7 linked regions of the Daphnia pulex genome follow. The protein of the gene in region 3 purifies or fractionates together with the protein of the main gene of each other region. This does not show direct contact. Links are inferred from orthologs where the notes say so. Each region holds a gene or a part of one and is shown on either strand. Other genes may lie near its edges.

The links.
Region 1: the proteins of probable small nuclear ribonucleoprotein E (region 3) and splicing factor 3A subunit 1-like purify together in Homo sapiens (affinity purification with mass spectrometry; 3 studies listed by BioGRID and IntAct, counting the BioPlex papers as one, with this or other methods). This does not show direct contact. The link is inferred for Daphnia pulex from reciprocal best matches to the Homo sapiens genes SNRPE and SF3A1.
Region 2: the proteins of probable small nuclear ribonucleoprotein E (region 3) and methylosome subunit pICln-like purify together in Homo sapiens (affinity purification with mass spectrometry; 5 studies listed by BioGRID and IntAct, counting the BioPlex papers as one, with this or other methods). This does not show direct contact. The link is inferred for Daphnia pulex from reciprocal best matches to the Homo sapiens genes SNRPE and CLNS1A.
Region 4: the proteins of probable small nuclear ribonucleoprotein E (region 3) and probable ATP-dependent RNA helicase DDX46 purify together in Homo sapiens (co-immunoprecipitation; 3 studies listed by BioGRID and IntAct, counting the BioPlex papers as one, with this or other methods). This does not show direct contact. The link is inferred for Daphnia pulex from reciprocal best matches to the Homo sapiens genes SNRPE and DDX46.
Region 5: the proteins of probable small nuclear ribonucleoprotein E (region 3) and calcium homeostasis endoplasmic reticulum protein-like purify together in Homo sapiens (co-immunoprecipitation; 3 studies listed by BioGRID and IntAct, counting the BioPlex papers as one, with this or other methods). This does not show direct contact. The link is inferred for Daphnia pulex from reciprocal best matches to the Homo sapiens genes SNRPE and CHERP.
Region 6: the proteins of probable small nuclear ribonucleoprotein E (region 3) and U2 snRNP-associated SURP motif-containing protein-like purify together in Homo sapiens (co-immunoprecipitation; 3 studies listed by BioGRID and IntAct, counting the BioPlex papers as one, with this or other methods). This does not show direct contact. The link is inferred for Daphnia pulex from reciprocal best matches to the Homo sapiens genes SNRPE and U2SURP.
Region 7: the proteins of probable small nuclear ribonucleoprotein E (region 3) and probable RNA methyltransferase Y17G7B.18 purify together in Homo sapiens (affinity purification with mass spectrometry; 3 studies listed by BioGRID and IntAct, counting the BioPlex papers as one, with this or other methods). This does not show direct contact. The link is inferred for Daphnia pulex from reciprocal best matches to the Homo sapiens genes SNRPE and MEPCE.

What each region holds. Positions count from the first base shown.
Region 1 is NC_060024.1:13,065,704-13,070,129, reverse strand, and holds splicing factor 3A subunit 1-like, read right to left. Parts: upstream 2,956-4,426; 5' UTR 2,744-2,955; coding exon 2,635-2,743; intron 2,578-2,634; coding exon 2,199-2,577; intron 2,130-2,198; coding exon 1,970-2,129; intron 1,908-1,969; coding exon 330-1,907; 3' UTR 144-329; downstream 1-143. Other genes in the region: proteasome subunit alpha type-2, read right to left, coding at 3,461-3,791, 3,870-4,125, 4,185-4,261, 4,322-4,362. UniProt on the Homo sapiens protein: Component of the 17S U2 SnRNP complex of the spliceosome, a large ribonucleoprotein complex that removes introns from transcribed pre-mRNAs.
Region 2 is NC_060018.1:1,925,187-1,928,400, reverse strand, and holds methylosome subunit pICln-like, read right to left. Parts: upstream 1,879-3,214; 5' UTR 1,692-1,878; coding exon 1,573-1,691; intron 1,491-1,572; coding exon 1,345-1,490; intron 1,241-1,344; coding exon 1,079-1,240; intron 1,017-1,078; coding exon 951-1,016; intron 869-950; coding exon 795-868; 3' UTR 698-794; downstream 1-697. Other genes in the region: sulfotransferase 1E1-like, read right to left, coding at 1-114; renin receptor-like, read left to right, coding at 1,939-1,984, 2,043-2,170, 2,306-2,614, 2,676-2,843, 2,906-2,986, 3,058-3,172. UniProt on the Homo sapiens protein: Involved in both the assembly of spliceosomal snRNPs and the methylation of Sm proteins.
Region 3 is NC_060026.1:14,103,657-14,106,456, forward strand, and holds probable small nuclear ribonucleoprotein E, read right to left. Parts: upstream 1,451-2,800; 5' UTR 1,326-1,450; coding exon 1,278-1,325; intron 1,198-1,277; coding exon 1,029-1,197; intron 970-1,028; coding exon 902-969; 3' UTR 763-901; downstream 1-762. Other genes in the region: serine-rich adhesin for platelets-like, read left to right, coding at 1-367. UniProt on the Homo sapiens protein: Plays a role in pre-mRNA splicing as a core component of the spliceosomal U1, U2, U4 and U5 small nuclear ribonucleoproteins (snRNPs), the building blocks of the spliceosome.
Region 4 is NC_060028.1:6,108,611-6,113,074, reverse strand, and holds the start of probable ATP-dependent RNA helicase DDX46, read right to left. Parts: upstream 2,947-4,464; 5' UTR 2,768-2,946; coding exon 2,748-2,767; intron 2,596-2,747; coding exon 2,455-2,595; intron 2,375-2,454; coding exon 2,194-2,374; intron 2,124-2,193; coding exon 2,012-2,123; intron 1,936-2,011; coding exon 1,763-1,935; intron 1,644-1,762; coding exon 1,305-1,643; intron 1,241-1,304; coding exon 1,081-1,240; intron 1,016-1,080; coding exon 899-1,015; intron 809-898; coding exon 608-808; intron 548-607; coding exon 465-547; intron 407-464; coding exon 209-406; intron 149-208; coding exon 1-148. UniProt on the Homo sapiens protein: Component of the 17S U2 SnRNP complex of the spliceosome, a large ribonucleoprotein complex that removes introns from transcribed pre-mRNAs.
Region 5 is NC_060023.1:8,902,481-8,906,816, reverse strand, and holds calcium homeostasis endoplasmic reticulum protein-like, read right to left. Parts: upstream 3,016-4,336; 5' UTR 2,902-3,015; coding exon 2,877-2,901; intron 2,815-2,876; coding exon 2,375-2,814; intron 2,317-2,374; coding exon 2,025-2,316; intron 1,958-2,024; coding exon 1,210-1,957; intron 1,127-1,209; coding exon 707-1,126; intron 636-706; coding exon 491-635; intron 426-490; coding exon 261-425; 3' UTR 206-260; downstream 1-205. Other genes in the region: TELO2-interacting protein 1 homolog, read left to right, coding at 1-38, 100-192. UniProt on the Homo sapiens protein: Involved in calcium homeostasis, growth and proliferation.
Region 6 is NC_060023.1:3,571,322-3,575,538, forward strand, and holds the start of U2 snRNP-associated SURP motif-containing protein-like, read left to right. Parts: upstream 1-1,386; 5' UTR 1,387-1,546; coding exon 1,547-1,621; intron 1,622-1,693; coding exon 1,694-1,787; intron 1,788-1,854; coding exon 1,855-2,041; intron 2,042-2,099; coding exon 2,100-2,227; intron 2,228-2,283; coding exon 2,284-2,357; intron 2,358-2,420; coding exon 2,421-2,586; intron 2,587-2,651; coding exon 2,652-2,815; intron 2,816-2,885; coding exon 2,886-2,945; intron 2,946-3,276; coding exon 3,277-3,320; intron 3,321-3,710; coding exon 3,711-3,815; intron 3,816-3,886; coding exon 3,887-4,002; intron 4,003-4,058; coding exon 4,059-4,173; intron 4,174-4,217.
Region 7 is NC_060021.1:10,084,161-10,088,414, forward strand, and holds the start of probable RNA methyltransferase Y17G7B.18, read left to right. Parts: upstream 1-1,424; 5' UTR 1,425-1,531; intron 1,532-3,242; exon of another isoform or gene 3,243-3,313; 5' UTR 3,314-3,522; exon of another isoform or gene 3,523-3,562; intron 3,563-3,772; 5' UTR 3,773-3,800; coding exon 3,801-4,254. UniProt on the Homo sapiens protein: S-adenosyl-L-methionine-dependent methyltransferase that adds a methylphosphate cap at the 5'-end of 7SK snRNA (7SK RNA), leading to stabilize it.

The sequences.
Region 1 (4,426 bases), on a different chromosome or scaffold from region 3:
TTATCTCGTCGTTGAAATATAAAATAAATAAACTGTAGACGGATTTTATATCAAAAGTAGAAATGGGTCACCTTTGAGTTTGTCCCAAGTCCAAATGAGATGAGATAATTTGTGCTAATAATAATGATTTACCTGACAACCGATAAATGGAGAAATGAGAAAAGTTGAATATATTTCCATTTCTGAGACCAGGAAGGAATCGATGACAGTGTAGCAGAGGGAGAGACAAAATGGTTGTAAAATGCTTTCCGATTACGTAATTATCCCCCAAGGTCCGTACTGATGTAAATGAGGTTTTTTGATGGTTTAGGATTTTCCAGAATTGTTTTTTACTTCTTACGACCGCCTCGTTCCTTCACCTGAAGCTGGACAACAGCATCGGGGGTAACATTGTAAAATGCCAGAGAATGATTGTCCTTGAAGTAGAGCCCCTCCCAAAAGAGCTTTTGCTTGGCCGGCGGCATTCCTGTCGCTTCACTAATCTTCTGCTTAACAACGGAGATTGGTTCCGTGGGCAACAAGGAAAAGCTGAGCTGCTGGCCCTGCAATCTCCACTCGGGTTTTTCGGCGTAAACTGGTGCACCAATATGGAAGTGGAGCAGACCGGGATATCTGACCAAAAAGGCTTCCTCAGGCATAAGTTGATCCTCGTTGCGCTGTCGTTTAGAAGGAGGCTCCTCCTCCATGACATCTCGACCACCCTGACCCTGCTGCTGTTGCTGCATCATGCCCATAGACTGAGGCATCTGCGTCATGAAAGAATTCTGGGGGACCATGGGCATTGGCATTGGCGGCTGAGGGATGGACATCATCATCATGGGTGGCGGCTGCGGAGCAGACATCATGACCGGTGGTCTTGGTGGAATGCTCATTAATTGTTGTGGAGGTTTAGGTGGCGCTGCTGCTACAACGCCATTAGATCCTAGCCCATCTTCTTCCTCGCTCATGCCAGTCATGAGCGCCTTGTTCTTGTGGATCTGCGCAATCTGCTCTTGTATGGTAACCAGGCCAGCAGGTGGACCAGGTCGGGGTTGGAACGTTGATCCTCCCTCTCCACCTGATGGTGGCGGGGCAGGCGGTTGTTGTCCTTCCCATTTGGTCTCGTCTTTGCGACGCTCTTCTTCACCAATCTTTTTACCGATGGCTGTCTCTTCGTCACCGACACCGAAAATATCTGTACGACGTTCAGCCAATGCTCGCAAGCTGTTTTCGATGGCTGATCCGGGCGCGTACACAGACTCTTGAGTCATCTTTTCTTGCATTTGTCGATCGCGCTGCTCCAACCAACGCGGATCCAGCAAACCGATACGCATGTGCTCAGCCACTTGGCTAGCCGGAATTCGCTCTCCAGTGATGGGTGAGATGAGGTACTCGTCTGGAGCAGGCGGACGGGCTTGTGGTTTTGCCACAGCTTTGGGATTGTAGTCTTTACGCACGATGACGTTTTCGGCAGAAGGAGCCACTGGAGGAGGCTGTAGTCCATCTCCCTTGATGGCTTGAGAGGGCGGTGCGCCTGGTGGTGGTGGTGGCTTTGTCTGTTCCGTGTCTGAATCGTCTTCTTCATCATCGTCTTCCTCTTCACTCTCCAGCTGCATCTCAACATCTTGTCCTTCTTCGTAGCGCTCCTGGAGAAGAATACGGGCACCGACCTCCTCTGGGGTTGTGGGAGGAGGGAAATTACCAATTTCGAATGGTTGATAGTCAACTGATTCGACGACTACAAAGTCGTGCCAATCAATTTGCGCATATGACACGCGTTCCCTTTCAGCTTCTTCTTCTTCTCGGCGTTTCTGAGCCTCTTGATGACGTTGCCAGTCGGCTCGTCGTTTGACTTCTTGTAAGACAACGCTAGTATTAGTGCAACCCTCGTTCAAACGGGTCATCAAGTCTTTCGGTGGGATAAGAACCTAAAGAATAACAAAATCATTTAGACTTTCATTCAAACAAAATAATCTACCAATCAAAATACTTTGGTGTACTGTTCTAGGAGACGAGTGAAATATTGAAAAAGCGAGTGCTGAGGACGCAGAAAGTCAAACTGATAATTTCTGGCCTCACGATTCATCAGACTTGTGAGGAACTGGCGACCATTCCTAGCTACAAATTGGGCAGTGAGTTTCACAATGTCTCTGAAATAAGACACAAGTGTTGTTAAGTTTTAGCTTCATAATATTTAAATAGTTATTTAAAAAACTCACAATTCCATGGCTGAAATCGATGGAGGATCAACAATGAATTCAAACTCTGGAGGTGGCTCTTTTGGGATTACAGGGGCTTCTTGCTGGAATTGTTTCAAAATTTCTTGCTGTTTCTGCTGCTGTGCCAACGAAGCTGGTGCTGATGTAGGGGCTGATGGTGGTGGTTTTCCCGGTGGGCCTGGGACAGGTGCTGCTGCAGGTGCACCTTCTGCAAGCTTTCCTTCTCTGATATCCTTAACTTTGTACTGGTAGTATGCATGATAAGGATCTCCAGTATTAAGAAAGTTGAATTTTGGGTTATTCTGCTCATTTTTCCTAATCCGTGCTTCAAACTCCAACCCATTTCTGGCTACAAAGCTGGCTGTCTTGTCCACAATATCTAAGAAGAAAATTGTTATGAATTATTCACGAACTTGTAAGTTGACAACAAACTTACTTCTGACTTCAGGAGGTGGGTAAATGATGCCGACAGTAGGCTTGGTAGAAGCATTCTCGGGCATATTTACTTCACCAGAAACTGGCAATGTTTCCACAGCAGGTGGCATGCTGACTATCAAACTCTATTCTGATGTATGAAATTGTCAGATTCTCACGTCAAAATTAAAAACTGATTCTATTTCTAAAATGTGAGTTAAATAGCGTTTTTCTGTTCCGGCTTTAACAGCAGAACGCAACAAAACGTTGCTGTCTATCCGCTACAATGTTGTCAGACTGTTTAATTTCAGTGTGGCGCCCACTTCTTCCGAATTCCGATTCCGACTTCTTCCCACTTTTTTCCACCTAGAAAAAATTGTTAAACTCTTATCTGCTATTAGTTCAATTCAGAAAAAGAATCCCTTGAACTATACTGTTGAATTATACGGAATTCACTAATATATGTCAAGTACCAAAACAAAATCATATCCAAATTCATAGTTCATTCGGTTCATTCATCTGTTTGCTCGTTTGAATCGATACAAGAAATGAAGAAAGTATGTAGTAAGAATTTAGAATAAACTTGAACGTTAAACAACAATGATCAAGTATAAAAAATACAACCACTTTGAACTGATTGAGGAATTATGACTGGATCTTTTAGATCTTTTATCTGATAGATTTTAAGATTTCTAACAGGCAATTTGAGTGAAGATAGTAGGAAAATGATTGTTTAGCAATGAACAAAGAAAAGGAATTTTGTTTTTAAAATCCAAGAGAAAATTCATTAAGCAACCATCAGATTTATTTTTCGACACTTGTTTGAAATCAAAGAATTTTCGAGCCGTTTAGGCAATGTTCGCCAAGTAATCCTTAACCTCAGCGGGAGATAATCGGCGGAAACCCTGCTCGTTACAAATACCAATTTCAACATTATCTTCTGTCATGCCTCCTTCAAAACCCTCTTTGAGAGTAAGAATCGCAGTGTGGACAGCATCGTCGAGCTCGAGGTCTTCATTGTATCTTTTCTCGAGGAAAGTTTTGCCATTGATGTAATTCTTTCCCATGGCAGTGGCTTTCCAGGCAAAGTAGGCTCCTGATGGATCACACTGAAACAGATATGGACGTCCTTCATCCCAGCCACACATCAAGAGTGAAACACCAAATGGCCTGACACCTCTGCATTACAAAAATTCATTGAAATGTTCATCTATACTATTTAAGAACTATTTTTTTGTGACAAAACCAAATATTTACCCAGACTGTGTGTACTCTTGCATGAGGGTAGCAACACGCTGGACAAGCTGGGCAGTTGGTATCTGTTCTTGATAAGTTACCCAATATTGTTGAGCCATTTTCCTTGCTTGACGAACCAAGAGGCGATAATCAGGACCCATTCCACTGTAGACCATACCGATCTTGGGGGTAATCATTTCAATCTTGTGAACACTGTGTTCTTCATATAAGATTGACCGATGCTTCTTCTCAGTGGCCAGAACGACACCATTGGCAGCTATAACATAACATTATTTACATTGTTACAATCTTTTACATGCTGAAATTTCAATATACCTTTAATGCCGACTGATGCAGCACCGGCAGCTACTGCGGCCAAAGCATACTCGATTTGTACCAGTTTTCCAGAAGGACTAAACAATGAAAATAAATGTTATATTTAGTCAAAACTTAGAAAGTAAATGATAGAAAACCTGAAAGTTGTTAGGGAGAAACTATATCTTTCGGAAGCCATGGTCTAGTTAGATTTTTTAGTTCTGTTCTGTTCAGTTATTGAATGACAGGACAGAATTGAATGC
Region 2 (3,214 bases), on a different chromosome or scaffold from region 3:
TGGCATCAACAAATTTCCCGGTTGACATCTCACAAAACCATCGCTGTAACCAGGAAACGCTGCAAGAAGTTTCGCTTTTGTTTCGGCATCGGGAAACTCAAAATGCAATGCCATTTTCGCGGGATAAGTCAGGGAATGGGGCGCTGGCGCAGAGTACCGAGAATAATTACCACCGAGGGAGATGTAGCGGAGAAAGTCTGTCGTGCTATGCGTGAGACGCTAAACTCGAGACTGAATCAATATTGAGACTTTCCGAGAGGCTTGAGAACGTTGAACTTTGATACAACCCAAGCTACAGCGCCACCATGACCACAAAAGGCGTTCTTGAGTAGCACTACTGTTATCGATCTTGTCTTTTCTAGTGGAAGGTTCACATAATGTTAACGTCAACCGAAGCTTTACCTCAGAAAAAATGCTAAACATTCTGCACGCTTTGTCGAAACACGTCACATTTTTTTCATTTCAAGTTACCTTAAGAAGTTCTTTTTTTAAAGAAAACCAATGCTTTCTTTACTGTGGCAGCGATATTTTTAAGTTAAAGATTATTAAACTTGTTTTTTTTGTCACACATACAGTTTTTTTTTGCTTCCCGCTTAAAATCTACACATAATATTGGAGCGGGCGCATTCTTTTTTTTTAACTAACCGAGAATACTCGCGTTCATGGCAATCGAACAGTGAGGTGACACCAAAAATTGTTTTACATTAATTATCTCCTATGCTTTGAAGTTTTATTATTTAAAATTTCAAAGAAAGCAATAGTAAGTAAAGCGTGAATAAGGGAAATATGTGCGGTTAATGTTCAGGATCGGCATCTTCAAACTGACCCATGTCTGACTCCATGTTCTCCGCCTCACCATTATCATGATCTTACGAACAATTGAGGTGCACATTGAGAAAAACAATAAATATTTGTCGGATATCAATTAAATGAAATTATATCAGATTTACCATTTTCAGCTGTTTCTGCTCCATCAAGGCAATATTCTCCTTCCTCAGTATCTTCAAAATCTCCTTCTAAATAAAAAAAAAAGTTAATACAATAATCTGCAAAACTTTTGCCTTTTGTCAAATATTACCATCTGAAATTGAATCATTAGGATCAGGATGGAGTGTTTGACATATTGTCATGGCATGGTACATGGCATCAAGAAGTCCCCGATCTTCTGGAATAAACCTTACTTCAGACATATCAGTTTCAGATTCCTCATCCTCAGAATCTTGATTATCTAAAGCTTCATCTTAAAAATATAACTTTAATCAGACAAACCTGGAAACATGAACACATCTCACATAACATTTTCTCAAATGATATTTTAAACATAAATATAGAATTGGGTATTACCGGGTTCATCAAGCCTTGAATCCAACATCAAGTACAAGCATTCCTGTGGAAATGCAGAAGGATCTTTTGAAACAGCATGTAACGATATGTGGGGGTATTCCAGCGAAAATCCCTGGCCAGATGTGGCACTAACCCATGATACACGACTAAATGGTTTGGAATAGGTAAAATTATTTTTCCGTGACTCTTGTAATCGAAAACTTAAATAGAATATAAATATAAATTAACCTTTCTGCAATATATAATGTTCCTTGGCCCAAGTCTCTGGTGTTGATGAAAGCTCCAGTATTAGGCTGAACTAATTTGATTCCTTCGGTAGGCGGAGGAAATGAAGATAATACAACCATTTTTTAAGAAATTTAACGAATTCAGAAAAGAAGAAGAGCAACAATTTGAAAATGAAATATGATTCGAATCACGCTGTCAGCAGCACAACGTTTTAAAAAAAAATTGTAGGCTGCAATGAAAACGTCATCTAGGGACTAAATCATGAACCACGAACACATCACCTGACTTTAGCTGTCACGAGACTCGAGACTGTCAAACTTTTTCTAAAGGCAATTGCAGCTGCTGTTGACCAGACAAGAAGGCAAGATGAAAGTGGCATCAATTGTCGGCGTATTTTGTCTATTAACCTCAGGTAATTATTTTCTAGCGATTGAAAACTACAGCTTTTGAAGTGTTTTGTTGCAATGCAGTCCTGGGAAATGGAGAGTTCAGCATCTTGCACAGCCCTAATGGAGTCAACTTTAGGGGAGATGAACAGCTGAATACAAGTGAATTGCCAAAAATTATTTCCACTGCAATGGGGCACACAACACCTTTTGTAAGTTCTTTCATTCATTTATAACTTTGTAGATTAGGAACTATATGTTTGGTTCCAAACGAAGGAGTGATATTGCAACTTGATGTATCTATGATGAAATCAGTTTGAAGCAATACCATTATTTGCTGTTTTCAGGGTGACTCGTGGAATGGACTTACAGTCTTGAATCCATTTAATTACCCAGAAGTTTCAGTTGCTGTTGTTGTTGAGGGTGTGCAAAGTCTCCAGTTGAGTGAACCCAGATACCCACTAGAGATCACCTCTACTCTTGATCAAGTGAAGGATGATTTCACTTCTATTCTAGGCCAAGTTGTATTTGACGAAAATGACTTATATTCTGGTGAAACCCAGAAGATTTTGGCACTTCAAAAGCTCAACAAAAAGGATGTTGCTGTCTTGCAGTTTCTTAAAGATATTGATGTTTTGATGGATTTAAAACATAAGGTATTTTCATTAGTTAAAAAATAGTGAGAGGTTTTTACACACAATACATTATTTTCAAAAGGTATTGGCAAAATCCGTCTTCAAGACTGTTTGGATCCGCCTTAATGGTTTGGATGATATCATCAGTGTCTATGGTCAAGACTCTGAGCAAGCTTTGGAAGCAGTTACTATTTTGAAATCTGCTCTCGGCGAGCTTCAAGATGCACTAGAAAACACTTATGGCGATCGAGTATGACACAGTTATATTTGAATTCGAAAAATTTGTGTGTAACAATTTTTGTCTTTTTATAGTTTATCCTAACTGCCATAACCATTGAAAGACTTCGCCTTCGAGAAAAGAGGTCTACGACTTCGAATGCCAAAGCAAATAGCGTATGATTTTTTAAAATTTTATTTTCAAATAATAGTCGAGGGTTAAAATAACTTTATCCTCCTTCTTTCAGGAACTGTATTGGAAGTTGAATTTATCTAAACGCTATGGATCGGATTACTCATCCATTTTTAATATCCTTTTATGGACATCCGTTTTCTTGATTGCTGCTCTTATTTCCACCGCTGGTAATTGATTAATCTGAGTTCGATTTTTGCAATCTGCCATAA
Region 3 (2,800 bases):
ACTTTGCCGCGTCAAAAGCTGCCCCGACATTGTGGATCAAATGAACCAAGATGGTCTACTACCGACCAACATCCATTTGGAATTGGAACTGAATAAAACTAACGGTAAAACTAGCGACAGCCAGCAACAGACTTTGGTCTTGTTGAGAGTGGCCAGCAGCAGATCACGCCGCGATAGTCAAACGCAACGCTATTCATGCGGAGCCCTGGATGGCAAAGTCTTGGTTACGTCGAATAATAATAACAACAGCAAAATAATAAAAGATTCGTCGTCCAACCCGTCACCCTCGCCTTCGGGCTGCGGTTCTAGACACAATAGCAATTCCAGTTTGAATTGCAACAGCTTCTCTGTTATCGAAGTGTCATAATAAATTGATAATTATGTATGTGTAATTATTTTAAACACTACTTTATTTTTAGGGTCTGAAATTTTGCTAGTTTTCACTCTTTGCTATGTTGTACACCCCCCACCTAACAGGCTGATATCATTGATACTTTTATTGATTTTATACTTGTACCTTCTATTTTAAGTGGTTACACAATGTTGTGCAATAGGTTATTTTTATTATTGTAGTCCACATGAAATGACTTGTTTTCAAAACATGATTATTCTTGTCATTGTGTAAATTATTCTCTTGCCGGAGACATTTTTCATGTGTAAAAGTGGCTAGGCTTCATCAAAATAAATATTGGAAAATATTACTAGGGAAATTTATATAAAACTAAAAAATAATAAATAGATGTTGAGAATGAAATATTCAAGTGTGGTTGTAGCATCATGTTTTTCTTATCAGTCAGCACATCAAGATTGGATGTACACAAAATCAGTTCCCCGTTAATCAAAGGTAATACACGACAGAACACAAATTGGGAATGCATTCTGACCAATTAATATAGGAAGATTAGTCGTCTCCACTTCCTGCAGCATTTTGGATTAGAGTAATGTTGTCACCTTTCAGCAACACCCGTCCTAAAATAAAACAGCATTTAGAAGACAGAATAATTGTGAGTAAATGAAAACGTCATTACCAATCTGTTTTCTGACATTTGTTTTGACGTAGACTTCCTCTGCATCATCGAGAACAATGTTCATGTACTCATCAAATCCAACAATGTGTCCTTCCATGTGCATGTTGATGTTCTCATAAAGCCAAATGTCTACTCTTGATCTTGTCTGAAGGTATCTGAAAATCAAGTTCTGGAAAAAGACATTTTTGACACACGTGCCGGTTAATAAATCTTCGTGCTGAAATCGAAGTGATAGTGGTGAAAACTTACGATGGGTTGAACCATCACTTTCTGGACTTTAGGTGCTCGGGCTGCCATTTATCTTGAATTGATATTTAATTGATTCCACACGGGAAAATTATCAAATTTCTAAATGAGAGTTGTTTGAGTTTACACTTTTTGTTGAAGAAGAAACGAACACAGACGCTCAATTGCCAACAACGTTGCCAGATATTTATTTCCTCGTAGGGATTTTCCGATATTTTTCAAAAAGACAAGGGCGGCAAAGGCAAGCAGGCAAAGCAGCCAAGCAGCCAAGCCAGAGTAACAGAATATTACTTTTTTTATGCTGGCATCCCGTTCCGGTTTGCGAGGTTCCCGTAGGAAATAATATCAATTAAAAATTTAAAAAAGCAAAAGTAAAGTAAACATGAAATTCAAAATTAATTACATGAATCTATCGGTATGGTGAATGGGAGGGGGGACGGGCTTCGCCTGCCACCCCCGCCCCCCCCCTCTTGCTTCGTTAATCGCTTAAATTACTGTTATACTTTTACATTAAATAGTATCAATCAAACAAGGCCTATCGGAACATCAAAAAATATCTGTGAATCATAAGGGGTGCGACTTAGGTGTGGCGGAGGCTTCGCCCCGCCACCCCACGTCGCACTCTCTTTTTAGCTTAAGTAACAGCAAAATTTATTATTTTCATAAGCAATATGAAATAAAAAATAATTAGTTATAGTTACAGATAAATCTGTAAACAGTTAGAACAAACCAAACCACAACACCCACCCTCTCTTACGCTTCGTTTAAGTTATTTCGATATTTTTACTTGAAATCGTATACTAATAAAAAATAATACATATCGAAATCAATTAAAACATATCGAAACATTCAAAAGTTATGTCAAACATTCAAACATTGGGGTGTGACTTAGGTGTGTGCTGTGGCGGAGGCTCTAGGCCGCCTAGAGCCTAGATAGATGCCAGTTAACTTTTACTTTTGGTCGCTAGAGCCTAGATGCCAGTTTCTACGCGCGCAGTTCAAACTGTTTTTCATTTTCGAGGCGCGCAGTTCAAACCGTTTTCCAATTTCTACGCGCGCAGTTCAAAATTCCAAAAAGCCATCTATTGGCGAAATTTGAACTAATCCTCCCGTATGCCAAAAAACCTGTAGAATTAATATATTTTTCTATTACTCTGCTGACTGGGCCTGTGGGCTGTGGCCTTGTGGCGTGTGGCCGTTCTGCGCCGATCTGCCGTTCCTTTCCTTACAACAACTGATGCTTGCTGCTTGGAAAAATTCACAGAATCACAGCTAATACTGCTAATACTTTTCATTTAATGTCAACTTTTGGGCTGTTCTCGCCTTGGGATCCACAATGAGTTTCGCTGTTCTGTTCGTGGAATAATTTTTTTAAAAAGAAGATAAGGACATATTCATACGAGGGGTCGAGGGCATTCTCTGACGTAACTATAAAACATACGGTTTTAATTTGCCAAGTGTGTCACTGTGTCACATCTCACCTACAGTATTTAATTCAAAATTGGTAAAAGTCAATTTTCAAATTT
Region 4 (4,464 bases), on a different chromosome or scaffold from region 3:
GATCGTACTGATCAATACCACCATGAAGGGAAATGCAATCGTATCCAGCTTTCATCAAATCTTTGAGCAGGTCATCAGCACTTTCTTGTTTCTCAACAAATACAAGAACACTTCCTTGTTCCTGATAAACCCCCAATAACTCTAAAAGCTACCAAAATAAATTAGTTTATAAACAAAAATTCATTGTTAATTTAAGAAAAAAGCTAACTTTCAAAAATTTTTGTTCGTCTTCCATAACAAGAACATGCTGTTCGACGTCAGCACAAACAACGCTACGACCTCCAACCGTGATTTCAACAGGTTTGTTTAGGATTCTACGAGCCAAGGCCTCCATTTGACGGGGAAATGTAGCACTAAACATAACAGTTTGTCGATCAGGGCGAGTGTTATCAATGATTCGCATTACCTATATAAAAGGAATAAATATTTCTAGTCACCCGACGAAGTATTACTATCTTGCTTACTTGTGGCTCAAAACCCATGTCGAACATGCGATCAGCTTCATCCAAAACTATGTAAGTCACACGCCGCAAATTGGTGACACGTCCTATTTCAAAGACTAAAATTAAGACACTTTTTTAATAGTTAATCTATAGGTAAATTTTACCGTTGTTGGCAGCTAACATATCAATCATTCTTCCGGGTGTGCACACAATAATTTCAGCGCCACGTTTTAGTTCAGCTATTTGCTCTGATATTCCCGTTCCTCCGTAGACCGTCACCACACGCAAATTCAATGACTTGGTGAATCTTTTACATTCTTTGCCGATTTGTAAGCACAATTCTCGGGTAGGAGACATTATGATAGCTAAAACAGTGGAATATTTATGAAGGTAAAATAATAATAATAATAAAAAAAAATAAAATAAATACATCGATGATATTAAACACTACGTACCGATTGGCCCATCAGTCTCTTCTAATGCAGGCTGGTCTAAAATATGCCTAAACATAGGCAGCAAAAATGCCAGTGTTTTGCCACTGCCAGTTTTGGCAATACCTATTATGTCCCTGCCTATATATTTTAATAATAGTATTTTTTAAAATTTATACAACAAAAAAGTGTTCGTTGTTGTGTACCAGACATGATTGCAGGGATTGTCTGCGTTTGAATGGGGGTTGGTTTTTCATATGCTAATTTTTTTAGAATTTCCATTTCCTTTTTACTAACACCACATTGTGCCCATGCTTTTATAGGTCTCGGACACCCTTTTCCTTTAACTTTAATGCCTTCAAGTTCCTATATGTTAAACAATTTTTTTTTAACGTCCTGGGGCACTAGCAATTGTATCAGTCATACACACCTGTCGGTATTCATCTACTTCTTCTTGGGTCATACGTGCTATGTCGGGTACTTCCACGTAAAAGTTCTTCCGGAAAGGAAAATAGTTGATTTTGTTGTGATCAATTTTAAAAACTTTTTCTTTCTGTTTTATGTTGCTATTCGCCAGTCCGGACATTGCTGATGCCAAGTCTTCTGACTCTTCTTCTGAGGAATATTCCAAAGCGTCCTGATTTTGTTCCACAAGCTCACCTTTCTTTTTAGCAGCTTTCTTTGCTACTCCGGTCATTACCATCACGCCAGATCCTTTTGATTTTTGAACGTCAAGTTTCTGAACCTTTCGAACTTCACTTTGAATGTCCTATTTTTTTTTTTTAAATTAAATAGATGTTGATTTAAAAATACTAGTGTAAGCAGTAAGGTACGAATCCATGTCGATTCGGCAAAACCAAATCGGCACATGTAGATATTCTGAAGTACCTGCATAAAAGCATCTAAAGGGTCAACTTCTTCCTCTGCTTCTTGAACTTCAATTTCTTCGTTGATCGTTTCAATTGCTTCAACTTTAGCAGATTCAGTTTTCAATTTTCCATCTTCCTCTTCCTCTTCTTCATCATCTTCAAGTGACCATTTTTTCCCAGCTCTTTGATTGGCTGTTTAAAAGGATGGCAATATTATGAAGTATATAAGACAGTCAGTTTTTTTAAAAAGTTATTTCTAGATTATTACCTAGATCAGATTTAACTTGAGCAATTTCCTGCATCTTTCGTTCTAAACGCCATTTTTCTATTCGTTCTCGGCGTTTCTGCATTTCCAAGTCCAAAGTTTTCTGCTCCTCTTCCTATATGCAAGAAAAGAGACAAACAAACAATGTACACCCTTTCAAAATATTAAAAAATAGAACAACTTACTTTGGCAATCATGGCTGCAACAGCTGCTTCCTCCTTTAGCTCTGATTCAGATTTCAAAACAGGTTTAATTTCTTCGACTAAAGTTGGTTTTCTATCAGGGGATTTTGAAATTCTTCGTTCTGAAGTTGTTGTTGATCTTTTAGATTTATCATGATCTCTATCTTTTGATCTGCTTCTTCTCCTGGAAAATGTTACAAAAAGGTAGTTTTTACTTCTTAACATGGATCAGACTATCTTTTGTAAACATGAAAAATTAATTACTTGTCACGCTCCCTGTCCCGATCTCTATCTCTTTCACGTTCCCTGTCTCTTTGCCTGTGTTCCCCATCTCTATCTCGTTCTCGAAGTTTTTTAGAACGAGGACTACTGGATCTGCTTCGGCTTCTGGATCGTTTATTATGCCTAGCGTAGATGAGAAATGTAAATAAAATAATAATATTAAGCAATGAAAAACTGTAAACAAAAAATTTACATAATCTATATCGTTATTATAATCTGCATATTATTTTACTTAATAAATGAATTAATAAGTTAAATAAAAATAACAATTATACTTGTGTCCGTCACGAGCCATCGAAAAGACGTTTAATTTCGGAATACTTAATAAATTTTGCAATGAAATGAGTTAAATACAAAATGCACATGAGTGCGTCAATTTTGATACACAGATACAGGCAACATTGCCATGTTTAAAATGAATTTTACTTCAAACAAATTGAAATTGCCAACTGCTAGCTCAGGGCTCTGCTCAGGCTACTAGCTGCTGCTAGCTTTTTGCAAAATGAACTTTGTCCTGTCCTGTCTTTTCCATATCCATGTTTATAAATAATATCTAGATTTTGAAAATGCAAGGGAAATTTCTTCTCCCGGCTATTCAGATTTTTGTCCTACACACCAGAGGGTTTTCAAAATCGGCCGGTAGATGGCTTGCAAAATGAAGTGGGATGATTACGAAAATCGTTAGAAAATGGCGGAAAATTTTCCAGATTTTAAATCCCTTATATCTCTGCCAATAAAGCTTAGATAAAAAACGGGGCAAGACGTCTGTGGAAAGGGGCAAAATCTTCTGAAAAATCCGTTTTTTAAACGGCCTGGTTCACCCGAAAACTGATGTAAAAAACCCGAAAAAACGCTACAATTTCTGGTGGGCCCTCATAGTTTTTCGTGAAGAATTCAAAACTATAACAACAAAAAACAGTAAAATTCCGATAAAATGGTTTATTTGGGGATGTACTGCGATGCCTTGTCACCAATTCCCCAAAAATGATAAGCCCCCCAGACCCCCAAATCCGGCCTCCTTGACTGGTGGACTCGATGTTAGAAGTATAATGGTTGCAACCCAGAAAAGAAAGAAATAATTGTCTGTAGACCTCCTTGGCAGAGTAGTAGATAATGGTGTAGCCACTAGGACAGGAGGCCTTCCATTTCCTTTTTCCCTAAAAGTGTTTCTAGCTTTCCACTTCCCAGCTCTTAAAATTAGCGCCACAGCAGGTGTGGTGGGAAATGGGGAATGGTTTTGCCGAAGGTTTCGCTCGGTAGCAAGAGGCGTTGGTGATAGAGGATAAACATAGATACCTAAGCTCAGTTTTCACTATCGAGTCGTGATGTTCGCTGCAGCTCTAGGAAAAATTTCCGAGAGGAGGAGTTAACATGGTAGTGGGTACACCATTATCTATTACTCTGTCCTTGGAGTAATGGAAGCCAAAACCACGATATAATAGGAAAGGTACAGTATCCTTCAAAAAAATCCGAACGGCGATTTTTTTTCAAATAGCCACCTATCCATATGGCGGGGAACTGGGTTTGGTTTATAGGCCGAATTTGGGGGGGTAAGGAACAAAGCGAAAGGTGGGAAGAAAGAAAAAGGAGTAATTAGCCATTGGCCATGTCTCCCCCCTCCCCCCCCAAAAAGAAATACGAATGAAATCAGACAGGCTGTCTGGAATTTTCATGGCGCGAAAAGTTTATTTAACCGACTTAAACTCATTGCCGATTATTAAACAAATGACTTAAGGCGATTCCTTTGAACTTTCCCGCTTTTTAATGCTAGATTTGGTAGCTTCTGGTTTTCTCGTCACTTGTCGAAAAAATGACAGTGAGCCTGCGGCTATTCCAACCAGCCTGTCTGGTTTTGTTTCACACTTTTTATTTCGGAGGGGGAGGGTTTCTTTCTTCCCACCTTTCGCTTCGTTCTTTACCCCCAAAATTCAGCCTATTAACCAAACCCAGTTTCCCGCATTATGGATAGGTGGCTATTTAAATAAAAATCGC
Region 5 (4,336 bases), on a different chromosome or scaffold from region 3:
GACGGACTTTAACACGCCCAGGTTTTCGATCCATCATGGTAAAATTGCGTGCATGATTATATTGACTCGATTTTTTTTAATCAATCTAATATTTCTTAGGTTGGTACTACAAACGACGAAAGTGAATTTACAGTCAACGCTGAAGAATTGGTCAAACAGCTGTTCCCCCTTACTTGTTCAGGTCACCATTAAACGGATATCAAGGTATAGACGAATCGACTGTATTTCGTGAGTTAAGCAAAAGTAGAGTGAGTGAATTCTCATGGAGTTGGAGGATCGTCAGGTCCGCCCTTTTCTTTTTCTCGTTCTTCGGCCCTTGAGCGCATTCTCGTGATGAACGCCTGACCTTTGCTTTTTCGGAAATTTTCAAAAGGATCACGTATATTGATACCGACACCTTTGAACTGGTCCAAACGATCGCGAACCTGAAGAACGAAAAATATCAATCCGCTATTCTGTTGACACAAAAATAGTACCGTTCGATCAATACCTCTCCTCCTTTGATGGGTTCCGCTATGCCTTGTTCATTTGCGCCGAGTCCAGCTCCTCCCCAACCCATTTTGCACAAGAGTTGATGCCCTCGGTTGTTTTCGTCCAGCTTTGTCGTGAAACCTTTGGCAAACGACACGGATGCACTGCAAAACGCCGAATCAAATTTAACCAAATCACATTGACCTAACTTAAGGAAAAAAAAGGGGTTGGTTACATTTCTGAAGGTGGCGTGGGGCTCCGCTTTTGCGCAAAACCGGTCATCGTGACGGGCGAATTAGATCTTGATTCCGAACGACTAGGTGTAGGAGAACGAGAGCGTGCAGCTCGACGGGGCGACTCTGAATTAGATCGACTTCGGCGACGTCTTGTTGAATTTCTAGGCGATCTGGATCGTGATCGAGCTTGCCTCGATTCTTCTCTATGCTCTTCCTCGGGCGACTCACTGCGGAATCTTCGACGCACGGGACTTCTGATTCCATTCTTACCACTTCTTTCAGGGGAATGATCCTCGACAACTTCGATAGGAGTTCGAGGCGGCGACATGTCGCGTAATCCCTGAGCAATATCTTCTTCTTTCTTCTTTTTCGCAGTTGCCTTGTTCTTATAAAACTCGAAAAGAGCCATCTGCTCCCACCTAAAAAAAAAAACAAGAAAGAGAAAAGTTGAGAAGAAGAAGCTTGAATGATAAGCCAACAAGAAAGGAAATCTATCACGAACCCATCTGCGTTTCGTGGTCGGTCGTGCGAGAGAGGACTGTAGAAGAAATCAATGGCGGCAATCAATCGCTCAGACGGTGGGAGCGGTGCAGGAAGGCGGATATCTTTCGGATCGATGCTTTTGTACTCGCTGTCTTCCATTCTCACCAGTGGGACGAGTAATCCCGCTGGTAAGTCGAAGTAGGGAGCCTTTGGTTCAATTCCTTCACACGGGTAGTTTTGCGGGGCATTAAGGGAAGCAACTGGCGGCGGGCGAGATAAGAAATCCGGCGGCATGGCGTGATGAGGTGCATTAAAAGACTGCAAAGCATTGGCCGCCGCGATTTGTTCTTCAATTTGCAGTTTCTGTTGCTCTAGCTGCTGAATCTGGTGGTTGGCATGATTGACGAAGGCTTGATGCTGGCCGCGGTAGTTTTCGTACGTATGCTGAATGTTGCTAGTTGAAGCTGCTACGGCTGCCGAGTATTTGGCCACTAGACTGTTGTGGTATTCATTCCAGATGTGTAAAGGTGCGTGTAACCTTTCCAGGACACCACGCTCAAACAAATTATTTTTCGTTTGCCACAAAACGACCAGTTTTTGCAATTTGGCGTTTTGCTCCTCGTCGGTTGCAGACAGACTAGTGTTTGAAAACATGTGGACGACAACTTGTTCGAGTGTCTTTAAAAGCGTGTCGGGTCCTTTGCGGAGACAATGGTGTAACACGTCGTTGACCAAATAGATCAAGTGAAGTTTGTGGGTAAATTGACCTGTTGATTCAGAAAGAAAAAAAAATGCTCAGGCAATGCCAAGTAGCCACAACAGAGGAAAACTTACTGCTTTGAGTTGTTTTGAAAAGGAGATATTGTGCTATGGCATCAGAGGATGAATGAGGCTGCATCACATGATGGAGAATCCAAGCTTTACCCTGAGATATGGATTCTTTGGTGCAAGAATCCATGATAGGCAGTAAAAGCAATTCTAACTCTGCCAAATTCATTCCACTTGCCAACGCTTTTTCCATGACTTCTTTTTCGTGTTGCAACTTGACTGTTTCCTCTGTCTGCTTTTTCTGCTGTTGCACTGTCACTTGATGTTGAGCGGCCAAGTTGCTTTCACTTTGTTTGATCTGGTGAACCAAACCAATTAGTATTTACTATTTTTGATATGATCTGGAGTATGTTTACCTGTTCCTGCAGTTGAGTTTGTTGGGCAACGAGTACATCTTTTGCACCTTTTAAAGCAATCAAATCTGTTTGAGGAGGGATGGGATTTTGTCCAGGAAATGACATCTGATTGGGCATTGATGGCTGTGGGTGAGCCCTAGGCCATGCAGAAGAAGGGCCATAGTTGTAATTCCTATTGAAACTGGGATGTTCTGTATTAGGCGGTGGGCCATAGTTGATTGGATAGCTCATGGGTTGACTTTGCTCTCGGACAAACTTTTGCTTGTTAATTGCTTGCTCTGTTGTCACACGGTACTGGTAGTAGTTGAAAAGTTCCCCACCAAACAGGAAACCAAACTTGGGGTTATCTCGTTGTTTGTTTTTCGTCATTTGCTCAAATTCGGGACCATTTCTCGCCACAAATTGAGCTAACTTGTCAATAATGTTGCGCAGTTCTATGTCTATAAAAATATTTGTTGTGAACAAATTGATGAGGAGATTTTTCAATTTAAACGGTTATTACCTTCGGGAGGACGAGGTAGATCCATTGCAGAGTTTTATGTTTTAAAACTTTAATTAAACTTTAGGCAATCAAAAACACACATACATATGCAACTGTGAATTGTTTCGATGCCGGCATTAATAGTTCGTGTTGAATTCCGCCAGAGTCTAGTAAACGGTGCGTTTTTGCTAAACTAGATGGCGTGAAGTTCGGTGCGAATAGTAAATTCCCTAACGTGTGACAAGAATTTCAATTGGGGAAAAATTTCTTGTTTGTATACATCGAATGCAGCTTTCCATATTTATGAGTATATGCTTCTTTGTAATTCAAACTCGTTTTCCACATAATTAAAGGTTGATATGATGTGTTGACGCGTTAAGTTCCAATCTCTTTCCTCGTCTCGCTGGGGGGGAGTCTGACTCTCTCTCTCGCGCTGCAGGTCGTGTCATCACACGCAAAGTAATCGGTCAACCAACAATTACAGCAGTAGCACACATGAATAGATACATCAACTCTCAAACGGACAGTTCGCTTTTTCTTCGCTATTTCAAAATGCGTTCTTGGCAGGGTCCCAATCGAACGATGTGTCGCAACAAAAGACACACCAAATATCATAACTCTTTGTCCCAGATGAACTACCTCTTTTTTAATATGACAGTGTTTCGGGGCAATGATGACCAGTGGAAGACCATTTTTTTCGCCTGTTCTTCTTCCTATTTCCGTTCTCGACCGTTCGGGTAACATAATAGCTTGAGTGGGCGGCTGCGAATGCCAATAATATACATCAGCAGTGTGTGTGTGTGTGTGTGTGTGTATGCGAGTGTGTGTGTATGGCGCCCAAAATAGTAGCACACTGCATCCAACTTGAGCCAAGTTTTAAAATATTTGGAAGCAACTGCGAAAAAAAGGGCGAACACCAGACCAGAAAGAAAATGAGAAGCGCGTCGTGTAGGAAAAAGAAAAATTCAAACTAAAAACAAACAAATTTGCCAGTTTTTCGTGGGCAAAGTTAGTCGGCGATCGGGTCGTGAGCAAATCGGCCGCATACAAAATCTTCTTCCTTGTTCTAATATTAAAATAATTGGAGGAAAAAAGTCGTTGGCGTTGGAAAGAATTCGACAGATTGTGTGTGAATCGAAATAAGTGTATTTGTTCAAGTGGAAATGAAATAACCCAAAATATTTTTGACTGATTGTGTAAAGTGCTCTTTCGTTTCAATTTGATCCAAATCATTCAAAACAACATTTTATTTCTTCCACTCGATTTTCAGAGATCCGGAGGGAGGTCCAGTAGCTCGTCGAATGGCGCCGAGATGGTTGGGTGTTGTGTTTGATTCATATGCCAAAACACGAGCCCTTTTTTGAAAAAAAGTTGACCTTCAATCAACTTCGTATTCCGACGTTGCGGAGTGAGAGGAATGAGATGCGAGTCTGGCAGACGATAGCTGAATCGTGAGACGAGGCATGCGTTGTGCCACATTG
Region 6 (4,217 bases), on a different chromosome or scaffold from region 3:
TTGTTGTAGTTGCATTAGGCTGCATGCGTATATTTCGAATCAATATTATCGCTTTATAGTTTGAGGTTCTCCGGTTTCCCCTCATCCTTCCCCAGTTTTTTCCTCAAGGCTATTTTTTGGAGAGAAAGCAGTCAGTCAAGCTCAAGGTCTTTTTTAGCTTCTGCTAACACACCTTGGCACCGCAAACCCAAGTGTAGAGCCATCAACCGGTCATCAGCAAAAAAAAAAAATTTGGCGGAATTGTTTTAAATTTAAGTTTAAAAAAAAATTTTGGGAGAGAATATATGAGCAATAGAGCAAAATTGTTCGTTAATTGCAAGATTAGATAAGTTTTGGGTTACCTGAATGAGCTGTATGAATTTCGACACACAATAGTTAATTCGTTTTGTAATCAAAATTTCCCATTCATTTGACACGTGCATAGAAAAAAATGTCGTTCTTTTATTGTATTCAGGGATAATGGAAAGGGAAATTAGGATACACGATACATGCATATACTAGCCAAAACTGCAATGTAATATGGAAAAACCCAACGTCACTATCGAGTTGTACCCAAAATGAAAATTTCCCAAACTAGAAATAACAAAATAACGGAATGCTTTTGATGTTCTGTAAGCATGTATATTATATAAGTTGGAAAACCCTTTCATGTGGATCTGTTTTGTTTCGGCCGGGACTTAGGCCATGCACGGAAATTTACAATTAGTACAATTAACAGAACATAACGTTATATTTAACGAGGTATTAGTGAAAACTTCCGCTATTAAACAGTTATTGTGTAAAACAATGAAACTTTAGGGATAATGAGTATTAAATTAGGAAAAATTTTACGGTGATTCCATTATAATTTCTTCTGATTTTAAATTACCCTAGTAACAAAAAGTGGTGATGTTGAATATTTTTGGGACTTTCGCTATACAATAAATTGTGATTTCTTGTTCCTTTCTGTAATAATGTTTAAACGCAATTTTATGCAAGAATAATCAAGAAAGATTCGACAATGGAATACGACGATATTGGAGTCCATTCAATTTCACGGTGACATCAAACAATGGAATTTATCATCCCTGTAATAAGGCTGTAACAAATTTTACATGTTTTGGGGCCGATGGCTCGCGTGTTGCCCTCATGCGCATTTTCTTCTCCACCAGATTTGATCCTACTGACTGCCGGCCTCGCCTGTTACACAATGTAATAAACATTTGTGACAATTGGGTGCAGTTTTACGACATATACTACATGTTTTTTTCCTAACGCGAAAATCAACGAAATTTTAGTTGTCATATTCATATACTCATGACTCATGTTGGCGATGTGCCGATTGGCCGATCTGATTCTGTGTTATGTTATTCCTCGACCAAAAAAGAAAAATAATAATGATTGGCATCGCTGTTTTGGCCGATGCGAGCTGGAATCGGCTGAAATAGTATGAAGTGCTTGTGGGATGGATTGATCGAAATATAATTAAACCTTCTATGACGTGAAATTATAAGAAGATACTCAACTTCTTTTTAACATTCTTGCAACATTAGTGTATTGTGTCAAAATGGCCAAAAGAGGACTGTCTCGTAAAGAACTCGAAGAAATCAAGAAGCGCGAAGAAATTGAAGCTGCTGCTGAGGTGATACACATTTGTTTGGAGAAGCTGAACTTCAAATAATTCAATATTATTGTTCATTGGATTTATTATTAGGTATTTGAGGAGTTTGTAGCCACATTTCAAGAAGATGCCAGCAAAGTCAGTAAAGTTTGGGTCAAAGCGGGTACCTATGATGCTGGTCAAAGAAGTAACAGATTACACATTTAATGCTATAATATAGCCATTTTTCTTAATATTTTCATTTTAATTTGCAGAGGAAGATGCCAAAGATAAAGGCAAATTGTATAAACCAACATCTAAATTGGCGAGCTTAGCAGAATCTTTCTCCACAAGATCCAAGGCAAATGAATCTAAGGAATCTAAAGAATCAAAAGATAAAAGTTTACAAAAAAAGGAGAAGAAAAAGAGCAATCTTGAGATGTTCAAAGAGGAACTCAGAGTGTAAAACTAGATTATTCTCTTATTTAAAAAATAATGTTACAATTAAATTTTCTTACAGTATCCAAGAAGAAAGAGAGGAACGACACAAAGTTAAAGCTCACTTGAAACCAAGTCGCTTTGAGCCTGTCAATGTGAGTTCTCCAAGTACTAGCAAAAGCTCTCTTGCTCTTGGATCAATCTTGATAGGTATGTAAATTGTAATTGCATTTTGTAGCAAATTTGTCACACTTTTTTTGTTTCAGAAGAAAAGACAGGATCATTTGATGTAGGAGATCCCAATACCACTAACATTTATTTAGGCAATATCAACCCTAAGGCAAGTTTTAAATAAATCATGTTTTTATCAACTTTATTAACATAAATTTAATGTCCCTTGCAGATGACAGAACAACAATTGATGGACACATTTGGAAAATATGGACCTTTAGCCAGCGTAAAAATCATGTGGCCTCGAACTGAGGAAGAGAAAGCAAGGAATCGAAATTGCGGATTCGTAGCCTTTATGTGCCGAAAAGACGCAGAGAGAGCGATGAAAAAATTAAACGGTTTGACAGTTTATATTCCGTTTTTTGCATCGATGCATTTATATCAAATGTTTATTTTTCAACAGGTAAAGATATTCTGTCTTTTGAAATGAAACTCGGATGGGGGAAGGCCTTGCCAATTCCTGCTCGACCGATTTACATACCGCCAGCATTACTTGAAAAAACGCTTCCTCCACCACCAACCGGCTTGCCTTTTAATGCAATACCCTCCCCACAAGATATTGATCAGGTATGGCTGGTATGCAGTACCTTAGATGTTCTTTCAAACATAATTGAAATTAATATTTCCCTTGTCACAGATCCCGCCACCCGGAACACCCTACCCAACACACGGCGAGGCGTTGGAGAACTTCAACAAGGTATTGGGGGATGGGCTAAGCTATTTCAATCAACCCAGCAATATGACTGACACAAGACTCGAGACTTTTTATCCGCCTGTTCCGGCATTGTTACTCATGGTCGGCGGATAAAAAGAAGCGAGTGCTTTGTGTGCGGTCGCTTCGTTGGGAGGTCTCATCTTTTCTATTTGTGTTCTTCGGCGGAAAGCGATGAAACCCAGCCAAAAATTTGTTTTCATGCGTTGCATTCGTTTGGCTAGTGAAGACCGTTGTTCGTGTCTCACTGCTCTCATACTATTGTGTGTTTGGAAATATGTTGATGTTTCACCCGGGTTTGCTGCTTCTCTCGCAGATTATATCCAGGGCTGTTGTCAAAGTGGTTATCCCTACAGACAGGTATGTAACAAAGATCAAGCCTCATAATACCTTGAAGCTGCGCGGCTGTGTGACATTACCCTGCTCCCTCCGAGCCCCAGGGAGTATACACGTTTTGTCACGAAGGAACAACACATTGTTCTTTTCATTCTTCCAATGCGACTATTCCTTAAGTCTTATTTAATTCCTTTGTAAACTTTTAACTAACACTCGGAATGCTTGACCAAAAAAAAAAAGAAAGAAATTTTGCTTTTTCAATTGACCCACTTCTTTTAAATCATCGAACAAAATTTTTTAAGTCGGTAGCTAATCTTAACATTTTCATTTTTATCACCACGTAAATCTGTACGATTGACATTTGTGCGTGTCATACGTATGTTGAACTTGGTTTTCTGGAACTGGCGTACACAGAAATTTGTTGTGTTTGATTCATCGAATGATCGAATCTGTTGTTCGAGAGGGCCCAATGCTTGAGGCCATGGTGATGAACAAGGAAATTGATAACCAGCAATTCAGGTACCTAAATTGTCTTTTCTAAAAATGTTGTTGGATAGTAATTATTATTTCTTTTTTACTTTTGCAATCAGGTTTCTATTTGAAAACCGGAGTCCAGCTCACATTTACTATCGCTGGAAATTGTTCTCAATCCTACAAGGCGAGTCTGGTAATGTGTGGTCCACAGAAGACTTTCGCATGTTTAAAGGTAAAATTTCTTTTTATTCTGTAAATTATCCAGCGCTCATTTTTAAAAATTAATAGGCGGTTCCATCTGGAAACCCCCGTCTATGAACCCGTTTTCTGAGGGCATGCCAGACGAACTTTTCTCGTCCGACGAGGAAGATGATGAGAGTCGCCGACGATCGCTCAGCAAATCGTATTTACTACAATTATTTTTTCTAATTCATTAAGCAATTCTAA
Region 7 (4,254 bases), on a different chromosome or scaffold from region 3:
AGCTGAAATCAAACTGGAGATGATTACAAAAATGTTCGTTGTGTCTTTGCAGGTTAGAAATGTGGATAGGACAAAATCTTCCCTTCCCTTAGGCTGCCGAGGGGGGGGGGGAGCAGATACGTAAACGTGTTTCTAATTCTGAGTTTATAGAGAACGCCTCGCCTATAACAGAGAATGACATTAAAAGAAAGAAGAAAAAAGGTAGAATAAAAACAGGGCCTTATTTGAAAATTCGAAAACAAAAGAAATATATAGGGAAAAAACTCGATGCGTATCGTTTTGAGCGTCAAAGTAACGTCGTTTGTATCTGTCAGGATACTTTCTCTATTTAGATCTATCGAGATAGGCAAGCCAGCAGCCATAGCGTTGGAGTCTTCTTCCCTCTTCGAGTTGATGTGCGCACATTTACAGTATAAGAATCTCGACTGCGGTCAAGAAAAGGAAATGGAAAACTGTGAAGAGTTTTATTAGTTTTACTACACAAATTATTGCATTTATGCCTTATAATCAGCATATACTACGTATTCTATCAGCACAAAGTGACTGCAAGAATCTGTGGCTGAATAAGGCTGTTTAATGAAACCATTTTTGGTGACAAACACATCCAACGGTTGCAGCAGCATAAATAAGTTGGCAATAACTTGTCTCGTATTGAATGCTTTTGTGTCTCGTTCGTCTCGTTTGTCCATCTCCAATTACGGAATCAAAGATCAACACTGTTTTGTTTTTGTTTTTTAAATTTTTGGATGAGCGTGATTTCTGGTTGGAAGCAATATCCAACCCGGAGGCAACGCGTTGCTTGCACTGATTGAACGACTGCAAAATGATCGTCGCTTTGAAAAAAATTTCGCTTTGAAAAAATGTTCCCAATGGTTTCAATTAATTTGATTTAATAGCTAACACTCTGAATTACTTGTTAAATATCGCAATAAACTTGATAACAAAACTAGAGATTTGGAATTTTAAAAAATAATAAATAAAATCTATCAGATAGAATAGAGACACGCGTGTCTCTATTAGCGGTACTGACAGTAGCTTATTCTAGAAATGAGTTCGTTGCCTCCGCTGGTGTTCTGGTAAACTCATAACACTTGAAGGAACAGAAAGGAAATGAGTTATTATCATCAGATGGAGTTCGAAGAGGAAAATAGTTAAGGGTGTTAAATAGCAAGAGCATTGGCATTTTTTTAGCTGCGAACCTGGGAATAAATAATATGTTTCAAACGGAAAAACTCGACTAAAATTAAGTAAAATCAGTGGAAATGAGACGGGCAAATAGATAAAATTGGTAATGTGATTCTGCATCGAACACGATATCAGATTCAGATGCACTGTGTTACATATCATTGACCTCAATTTTTTATGTTATAAGATGACCATTTTAATCATGTATGTCTCAACATTTGAGCATGTGAATTTATTCTTGTTTCGTCTACGCTCGACGGTAGCCTACTGCTTTTTCTCCATGAAGCCAATTCCATGTCACTATCATATCCTAAATATCATTTCAAGATATAGGGTCTACCAAACCGTAAGTACATAAGCAAAGATTTTGTAGGGTGAAAGCTAATTTCATTATGTGCTTCAAATTTGCAACCTTTTCCCGCTGGCGCTAGTTATAAGTTAACATATAGCCTGTGGCGCTATCAATGCTCACAAAGAATTACCGCATTATAAAGATTAACTAATTAATTATAACACTGAGAAATTTTAGGTTAAATATTGAAAGGGAGAATCAAGAGATAAATAATCAAGAGAATGATTTTAAACATCTACAGTTAACATTGTTTAGCTATTACTATAAGGGTGAAGCCAGTATGCCGAACGCCGAAATAGGGGGAAGAGAATGGGTAGATAGATGTCGTGTACGTGGTGTGATTGTGTGACGTATATTCGTAATATGTGTATAACAAACACGCAGGCAGTCGACAAGTTGTGGCATTTTACTTCATGAGCCACGCCATCTATTGATTTCTTATATTCCCTTTTAGATCCCTATCGGCCTCTCCCTACTCCGACCAGATTTTCAGATTGCTATAATTAATTTCTGTCGAGGAAGAATTATAAGATCTATGACCAACTGATAGATGCAATCAGTGACCAATTTAACTCAGCCCACGAACAAATGTGACAAACCTATTTGATGTAAGACTTGTGCGTACATTGGCAAATATGAAATTCAAATTTATTTTGATGTGAAACTTACTTGACACGGTAGCCAAAGTAGGTGGTAAGAACCATCACGGCAGAATTATTTCAATTCATAATAGGATAAAGCAAATCATGCAACAATGCACAACGGTGCTGCGGTGTTATGTACGCTCATGCTTGCGGCTTTCTACAACAATTAACAAACATGAACATAATCAAATTATCAAAAAAGATCAGCAATTCAATAAAGCAATTTTTATTTGGAATTAAGTTGTGAGATAACTTTTAGAGGAATGGAAAGATGTTACGTGTATACCTGTCCTACGAATGCGACAAGAGACGATTCTTTTATTCGTGCCGCATTAATCCTCTTGCTGAGCTGCTGCAAATTGCACCTTTATACTTAAAACTAAAAATTTCGCCATCTATACGAAAACGATGGAGTGATCATAGTATCATACACCGAAACTAGATGGCGTGGAACGAAACGTTAACAAAACGTTTTTATTGAGTACCTGAATGGCTGAATCGAATTCTGGAAAATTTAGATCTCCAATATATGATTGGATTATATATGATTACGAATCACATGATGGCAAGATTATTTACATTCTTAATAAACTTGGATAACTCGTTTTTACATTCTTAAGTCTTAACAGATGCATGCGTAATTATTAGTAATTGCATACGTAGGAGATGTCACTTTCTCCCTGCATGACAGAAACAGAAATTTAGTAAAAATTTTGAATTCGATTATAGGAAGTACACCTAGAAATGTTACAGTAACCTAACCGAGTTTATAAGATACAACAAAATATATTGAGTAGTAACAGATTCACAATTTAACACATAATTAAGTCAAATAGGAGGAAATAAAATCATTCATCATGTTCGTCGACATGGCTTGAAATTGAAGTATTTTTAAATTGCACTATAATATGGATTAAATTTTTTTTAATGTCTTACAACTTTATGAAGTTTTAACGAATAGTTTTTTACGTTATCCGTCACTTTTAGTTTTTGATGTACATAATAAATGCACGTCTAATTTTTATCTATTACTAAGCTATAGAATTTTTCAATAATATTGGATTTCCATAAGCGCATAACCTGACTGCAATTAATTCTCGATCAACCGCAAATTCAGTTTCTCTTAAACTAGGTACACATGTAATGCTCAGTGCTTTTTTTTGCCAATTGTGCAACGCTGCTATGAGAGAGGGGATGTATTTATTACTGGGGTATGGGGACTGAACGCAAAGAAAGGAGCAGAAGCATCAGAACGTCGAATAGACAAGGTTGCTCAGGATACACCTTGTCCAGAAATTGGAACACAAATCATCACTTTTGCCAACTCAATTTTAATTCTAGGTAATAACTCATCCTTTCCAATTGTATTGGAGCCAAAAAAGTAGGTTATAGTTAATTTTCTTTGTTTATAAAATACGTTTATGATGTGAGGTTTCTGGCGTGACCGCTAGATGCTGCACAGCGTGTGGATTTATTTAAATTTGAAAATTATTTAGAATTTGCATTAAAAACTTCTAAAATTGCAATGTTTTAGTGTGTCAATGTTTAAGCAGAGAGATGTGTGTATTGTAAAGCTGTTTTCTTTTTACAGATTGCTGAAGCAAATTTAATGAAACATCATGGCATCAACCCAAGTAGTCTCTCTCAGTATTGGACAAATGAAGCGGGTGCATTTTCCTGCAGAAGGGGATGACAGACCTGTAGAAGCTATTCCACATTTTGTCAGTCCCAAAAAAATGGTGAAACCAGTAACAGGCAGTCAGCGCAAAAGAAGTCTCAGTCTTTCATTTGAAAGCAAGCAACATCACTTCAAGAGAAGACGCAAGGAAGAATTTGTGAGACCAACAAAATTTCTACTTGGAGGCAATAGTCGAGACCCGTTGAACTTGGGCAGTCTAGCAGATGAAAGAATCAACAAAGCTTTGAATGAGCATACCCCAGAATCCTCTCCGTTACCAACCCCTAAACACAGGAAGGAAGAAATTGAAGTATTAATTCCATCAAATATAAGGGATCCTTTAAACCTGAGTATGCCAGATGATAATTTAGCGGAAAGAGCGTTAATATCTCCGA